Linked DNA regions of Arabidopsis thaliana. The protein of the gene in region 1 interacts with the protein of each later gene in a pairwise test. Each region holds a gene or a part of one and is shown in the gene's direction. Other genes may lie near its edges. The genes, in order: AT5G35680 and AT5G62440.

Region 1 (3,604 bases):
CGAGTTGTTGTTAGCTTCCGTCGCTTTCTCTGTTCCATTCAGCTTTGGTCACCGCATATCTAGGTTCGTCGACATTGCTCATGACTTGTGAATTTATTCTTTAGCTTCGATATGATAATTGAAGAGTAGAACGGTATATTTTTAAAGAAAAAATGCCGATTTTCGTAAGTACATACGAAAGTACATATGACTACATTTATAATCACAACAAAATAGTAATATATGACCTTTCAAGTAATATATTCTACTTATCCATCTTTTTCTCAAATAAAGATTACGAATGACCTCCGGTTCAAAATGGTCTAAAGCTCAACAATCACTTTGTAATTTAGAACCAAAAGAATAAGCTCATAATTTCTAAATCAAAAGCCATACTCCTCGACTCCTCAATTAAATAGATATCTAATTCACTAGCATTATTAGCAACTTGAAGGAATCTTAAAAAGCAAATTCATTTTACCATCAAAATCGATTTCTCTAGTAATCGCAATGAATAATTAAACCATGAGAATTAAACTGTAGAATATTGGAAAATAAAAACTAATCAATCAATTTTGACGAATGAATTTTTTTTTCCAAAGACAAGGTTGGATGTCGCAAGCCTCTTTCGTATAGGGTTCTTTTCTTGGTTGCCCTTTTCAATAGAATATAACTAATTTCTAGATTTTATATATTACAGATTATGATTATTCAATATGCAAACATATAAATAGGTGAGAAAGATATAATGGAAGATGTCTTGGTTTGTTATTATGCAATATATGTGGTCAAATTGATATTGGAAAGTAATGAAGATAAGCTCAAAATGAATATAAAGATAGAGAAAGTAGAAACATGATTATGTGAAATCGATCAATGTTTTTGAGCATCAATTCCCCATTTCAGTCAAGACAAAACAAAAGATAGTCGGATTAATAAATCCATGATTTTACAAGTTCTCATACTATAATTAAATCCTTTAGAGATAAAAAAATATATCTACATGCATGTATTATTTGGCAGTAGAAAGAGAGATTATGTTCTGATCAAAATCTCTTGTACAATATATGTGATGAAAGGAAAAACTTTATAGAAGATGTGATAATTGTAACTACAACATTTCATCTATTTATTTAATTTATGTCTTCGTGCACAAATATTTAAATGTGTATTGTAAAAACAAAATCTAAGGCAAGACAATCTATTTTAATAAATTTGACAATATTAAAATGATGTAATAGTAACGTAGGATAAAGTAATTTTATGTTTATATTTATTTGTATTGATGAAAAAGAAAATAAAGGAAATGAAATGTGTCTCTTAAATTATAGTTTTAAAATAATAATGATATAGATAATTAAGTATATTAAAACTAAATAATGGTATTAAGATAAAACGAGAGAAATCACATGTCACAAAGAGATGTCATATGTTCACAAAGACACAAACTTTCTAATTAAAAAAAAAAAAACTCAAAGTCTTATTAAGAAAAGAGAGCTGCTAATTTATGTAGAAATCTTTCTCCTTTCCATACTAAAGTCCAAGCTTTACTCTGGGCAATGAAGTGTATGGTTGATGCAAACAACCAATAAGTAGTTTTTTTAACAGACTGTTCAGATTTGGTGAAGATAGTATATTTCCCAACTAAATGATCAGCATTTTCAACATATTTAAAGGAGTTTCAGAGCGACAAGGAAGAGTTCACTTCTTTTTCTTTATCTTTAATTTTTCGTAATGTAAATGTCAAGGCGGATAATAAGTTTGTGCTGAATCGTTTCATATCACTTATATAAACAAGTTTCGTCAAGATTGGCTCGTTTGAACCGTAAATAATATATGTTGACAAAAAAATAAAATAAAAAATGGCATGACTCCGTAATAAAACCTAATTTCGAGGGTGTTTTACAAATAGCTACACTATTTAAATAAAAAGACGTCTCTTGCGACATCGATAAAAAAAAGTAGAACAAGCAACACAACGCAGCTAAGAAACCTCCTTAAAGAACAAAGAAAAAACTTGGTGAAATCGATTCTCTTCAAAGATCGTCTTCCTAATCACTTTCAACAACTCGATCAATCCTTACTGGTAATCTCTTCCTTCCCTTTGTTTCTCAATTAGGGTTTCCTTTACACCGCCTTAATTTTTCAATTCAAACTCCAAATTAGGGTTTCCACTGAATTGAAATTACCCAATTATGTTTCGATCTAATTGTTTCTCGTTACCGGAATTGTTTTGATCTGAATTTTGATTCTCGAATTTGCCATTTTTTGTCTGAAATTGAAAAAAAAAACGAATCAATTCTTCAACCTTTTGTAACCTTTACGCCATTATATGATCAGATTCTGATTCTGTATCGAATTTGATACAGAGACGATGCCGAAGAACAAAGGAAAGGGAGGAAAGAACAGGAAGAGAGGAAAGAACGAAGCTGATGACGAAAAGCGAGAGCTTATATTCAAAGAAGATGGACAAGAATACGCACAAGTTCTTCGTATGCTCGGTAACGGTCGATGCGACGTTATGTGCATTGACGGTGTTAAGCGTCTTTGCCATATCCGTGGTAAGATGCATAAGAAGGTTTGGATTGCTGCTGGTGACATCATACTTGTTGGTCTAAGAGATTACCAGGATGATAAAGCTGATGTTATACTCAAGTATATGTCTGATGAGGCTAGGCTTCTTAAGGCGTATGGTGAGCTTCCGGAGAATACTCGTCTTAACGAAGGTATTGTTGGTGATCTTGATGATGATGATGATGTTGTTGGTGAAGATTACATTGAGTTTGAGGATGAGGATATTGATAGGATCTAAGTTTGTTTTTGTTGTTGGCTCTCTGTTCCAGCTTGTATTATCAAATTTGAGATACATATCTTCTTAGATACAGAAGATTGTGATACTATCATTGTTATGTATTTCTGGGGTTTCCAGTTTCTTATCCCTTACTATTACTGGTTTGATTTGAATCCCTAAATAATTTACAGAAAGTTGTTATCTGATTCGAAAGAACAAACTTTTGTGATTTAAATGCAAAGATTTACAGGTAATGCTTATCTTAGGTGCTGCTATTTAGCTTATGTGAGGTTTCTTCGCATTCGTTTCCTGTTTTGCAGCTTGTGGGTGTGGTTTTGGCCTTCTTTGCTTTCTTTGTTTGTTGTTGCAGATCACTTTTGGTGGCCTGAAGCTGCAAACGTAAAACGAGACAGGTAAGTATGTTTGAGATAGATGGGACTCAGAAACTTCTATGCATTGTGGGGTTTTTTCTTTACCTTGTGATGCTTTCTCTGGCTTTTGTAGCTTGGAACAGATTTACGCTTAGATATACTTGGTTTAAAACTACTTTTTTCGGTCTGCAAAACTGTAGTTGCATCTCCTTGTGTCTCTGATATGCTTTCAAAATGGAGAGGTAGGTCGTTGGAAGCACAGCTCTCCAACTCGCCAGCTGTACCAAAAGCTCTATTCTTTCTTATCAAGCTTTGATTTTTCGTTGCAACATCTGTTCTTGGTTCAATTGGAATGCTGTCTGGTACACGGGTTGCCATCCAGCGTTCTAACCAACTCCAACCGATATTGGAATCATCTTCACTGCTACGATCTATTTGTTTCTTCTTTGAGCAAATTCTTAGC
Region 2 (4,300 bases), about 11 Mb from region 1:
TCAATAGATTGATTGGATCCTCTATCTGAGTTTAAACTTTCAGGTTTCACGAGACGGTCAGTACTTGAACTCTGATCATCAGCCATCTCTCTTTTAGCCTCAATGTGTAAAAAAACGTTGTCCTGTTAAAAACCAAGAAAGATCCAAAGATTCAAAATAAAAATCTCATAACTCTTATAATGATAAATGTTCCATCATCAACACAAAAATCTCCATTTCTTTGAATCGAAACATCATAATTGAGCTCAGACAATCGATTTCATTTCATTAAAGCGGAACAATTCAGGGAAAATGTCTTGGTGGAAGAGATTAGGATCTGAGTTTAAAATATGTCTTTGTCTCCAAATTTCCCCAAATTTTCAAGACATAAACCTAATCGGAAAATCCCCAAATTTCAGAATCACATCTCAACCATGAAAACAAAAGAGAGATACCATTCGATTCCATCACAATTCAGGAATGAAATTGAAACCCCAAAAGTCACAGAAATCAAAATTCCCAAATAGCAGAATCAACCAACCATAACCCAAGAAGAAAATGAAAGAAAAAAAGAGATAAAAGAGAAGATGATCAAATTATGATTACCTATAGAAGAAGAAATATCGTGAATCGCAGAAAATGGGGGAAAGAAGCTCTCTTTCGATTTCTTGAAGGGCACAAACAGCTCTCAAGATGAAATTCGGACAAATGTGTTTTCTTGTTTGATGTTCGGTCTGGAAAAATATTCAGATAAGTAAATCAAAATTTCGAAGCGCGTGTAAACAGATAAATATATAATTAAATACACAAAACCGGAGTTATGGAGGTTGACGATTTGACACGGTAACGTTATGATAATCAGATTTTCACAAAAAAAAGTTTTTTTTTTTTTTGTACCTATCTATCTTGGTTCTTTTTAGATTTTAGATAATATTACAAAAATAACTCTTTACCAAAATACGATAAAATAATTCCATTATTTTTAGAAAATTTAAGATTGAGGTGTTTGACTGTTGATAGATAATATGGTAAGATTGACTAGAAGCAAAAAAAATATATTCCAATTATGTCAAATTTTTGAAAAATTTAAGAAGTTCCATTAATTCCACGAGATGTAAATAATTTCAAAAGATGTTCGTTTGACTTTGACATTTTCCTCTTTGGCAAAAATTGTGATTGATCAATAAGTTAAGTCTCCAAGATATCCCGACAGACTGAACATCTAAAACGTTTAGGTATCCCAAAAATTATTTTTAATAACATTGTAAATTATATCAACATTTTTTATCCAAAAAAAGTATAATATGATTTATTTGTTAAACTATTATATTAAGATTTGAGTTTTTATTCTATTATTTAGAATTACTGACTATTATCCAAATTTTCTACAACAGTAAAAGTAATTTGTAGACTAAAAAAATATCTTGAGATGATTAATAAAAAAATATATTAGAAAAATGTAGACTTTAAAATGAAAAGATTTAAGAGACGTAAAAATAATAATTGGACAGATCAATGACGACAAATTAGTTACTACATTGAAAATCCTGGTTTTCATGTAGTGTATGCCGTCGAGCCAAAAAATCAAATAGACCGAACCAGTTCGGTTCAATCGGAAACCAAAGTCATATAAATATACCGCTTAGACGATTTCTGTAGGTCACACACCCTCAAGCTTAAACCCTAGAAATCGTAGAAAGGTGAAAAAAAGGCGGAAGCTTTACTAGCTTAACAATGGCTGAAGAACAAGAGATCGTCGATTCCCTGTCAGCGGAAGTGAACCCAGACCAGAAAGTGGACATGGAAGTCGAAACCGCGACCCCGAAAGCCGAGACCGGCGATGAGAAACGTGAGAGAGAGGAGACAGAGGAAGAAGAGAACGGAGGTGAATCGAAGAAGCAGAAGGTTGGAGAGGAAGAGAAGTCAGGTCCGGTTAAACTTGGTCCCAAGGAGTTTGTTACCTCTGTGGCGATGTTCGATTACTTTGTCAAGTTTTTACACTTTTGGCCAACTGATCTCGATGTTAATAAGGTAATACATATTTGGGTTTACTCTTCGTCTTTGTCTTTTGGCTTTGTTTATTGTAAAGTTTCAAATTTTTTGGAAATATTCATTCCTTTGCTCGAGACTTATATAGGTTAATCTAAGAGCTCTGATTGTGATTATTAAGTTCTGTGATGTGTTTAGGAAGATGTTTTATCAATGAATCTGATGATGATCGTGCTTTGTATTTAAACTAAAAGAAATTGAGAATTGGGTTCGCCTTTGTATTGGTCATATGATTTGATTTTGGATTCAGTGTTTGGTGTTAGAATTTTGTTTTTGTCTCAAATTAGTGGTTGTTTACAATGATTGTGGATATTGTATTATGTTTAGGGAGATGATTGTGGATATTGTATTATGTTTAGGGAGAGGATTAGTGAAGTGGAGATAGCTTGTAAATTGGACTCCTTTGCAGCTTTTTTACTAGTTGAAAAGTTCAAATGTATCGTGTTCTTACTGATTATATGATTGTGGATTGTGTGTGAATTAGAAAGTTTTTTTGGGTCTTGATGTCATATAATGGTTAGAAGAATGAAGTTAATGTCAAATTTTGAGGGCACAAATAAAAGATAAAACATTGCATAGTCATGTAATATATTACAGTTGTTGCAGTTTCTTTTGAGCTTCCAACTAACTAACTCGTTGTACTGAACTTTGTTCTGGATTGTACATTTCAGTATGAGCACATGGTGCTGCTAGATCTGATTAAGAAGGGCCATTCTGAGCCTGAAAAGAAGATTGGAGGAGGAATCAAAACCTTCCAAGTAAGAACCCACCCAATGTGGAAAAGCAGATGCTTCTTTCTGGTTAGGGAAGACGATACTGCAGACGATTTCAGCTTCAGGAAGTGTGTTGATCAAATCCTCCCATTGCCTGAAAACATGAAGACTCCTGGAGCTAACGGCAATGGACATGGTGGAGGTCGCGGTGGCGGTGGTGGAAGAAGAGGCGGTCGTGGTGGTGGTAGAGGAGGGAGATTCAGAAGATGAATATGCTGACACTTGATGCCTTATTTCAAAAGAAAATTTTGAAAATTTCAGATTTAGTTCTTTTGCCAAAAACTTTAAAAGTTATGATCTTGTCTAATGCAACTGCTTTTTGTTGGAGAAAAATTGTCAGTTTATATAACCCATTATTGCTGAAGAAGAAGAATATTGTCCCTACTATCTTGACAACATCAGAAAAAAACACAGACGCGTCAATAGAACTAAAAATCTGGTTGATCTAGTTTTTAAAAACCAATAATTCAAAAACGAAAAACTCAAATCAAAATCTAGATGAAAAAAAAACACTTTCCATTGATAGTGTAGTGTTGATCTGGTTGCTAAATGATAATGTTAAATAAAAAGAATTGGGGAAGTTATGAAAAACCGACATTTTGACTTTGGTAACTTACTGTGTGTGACATGTTCACCGTTTACGACCCTTCTAAGAGAAAGACAATGCCCTCAAACTAAAGCTGTCTTAAATCTTAACCCTGCTAAAAAATGATTACATGAAGTGATAACACTGGTTGGCACACGTCTTGGAATAATGGATTATTTTGAAACACATTATGAATTATAAAGAAACATTATCCGATATTCGGTATTCGGATTAATATTCCAAATTGTCTTCTTACACAATATACAAATAGACACATACACAAATTGTCTTTTGAAGATGCAACAAATTTTGTTTTGTTAAGCCTTCTTAGATTTAGGAAGCTTCTTAACTACGATCTTACTGCAACACAATCAGTTTGTGAAATCTATGATCTGACCAAGATGCAGGTGAGTAAGGGACCTACAGTAGAAGTTGACATGGAAAAAAGGCAGAGTTTGGTAAATCATAAAATGTGGCAGAGACCTTTTTGGTAATAGCCAATGAGAGAGCACCTCATATCTATTACCTTCTTCTGCAGTCTTCTTATCTTAACGTACAACCGTTCACTTAATGAAATTCGTCAATGGATGTTATATGGTTGTGAAGTTTTTTTTTTGTTTTTTTTTTTATAATTGATTTTCTATTAATGGTTGTGATTAATCTTTGTGTATAAAAGAAGGGTATATGTTTCTCCAAACCAAAAAGTGTAGATCGTTTTCAAATGAAGGATTTTTATCCTTCTACCAACCAATTAAGAAATTGCACGTAACAAGACAGCTCTCGTGTGAGCTGCACCAAAGCCATCCCCGCGATGCTGACATTTACCTACCCAAAAGTTTCTAAACAGTTTACATAATTGTTTTTTTTTCTTCAATTCAACAATAGATAGATAATTGTTAAGATATGTTAGAAA

Evidence for each region.
Region 2: the proteins of AT5G35680 (region 1) and AT5G62440 interact in a two-hybrid assay, tested with the Arabidopsis thaliana proteins (one study listed by BioGRID).

Annotation. Positions count from the first base shown.
Region 1 is NC_003076.8:13,857,339-13,860,942, reverse strand, and holds AT5G35680 (Nucleic acid-binding, OB-fold-like protein), read left to right. Parts: upstream 1-1,929; 5' UTR 1,930-2,065; intron 2,066-2,319; exon of another isoform or gene 2,320-2,348; 5' UTR 2,349-2,353; coding exon 2,354-2,740; coding exon of another isoform or gene 2,741-2,791; exon of another isoform or gene 2,792-2,792; coding exon 2,793-2,858; 3' UTR 2,859-3,022; downstream 3,023-3,604. Other genes in the region: iqd33 (IQ-domain 33), read right to left, coding at 3,033-3,161, 3,247-3,603.
Region 2 is NC_003076.8:25,071,331-25,075,630, reverse strand, and holds AT5G62440 (EMB514 (DUF3223)), read left to right. Parts: upstream 1-1,561; 5' UTR 1,562-1,713; coding exon 1,714-2,010; intron 2,011-2,699; coding exon 2,700-3,011; 3' UTR 3,012-3,514; downstream 3,515-4,300. Other genes in the region: AT5G62460 (RING/FYVE/PHD zinc finger superfamily protein), read right to left, coding at 1-122, 435-437. UniProt on the Arabidopsis thaliana protein: May play a role in ribosome biogenesis and in determining the rate of cell division. Involved in a process essential for nuclear and nucleolar functions.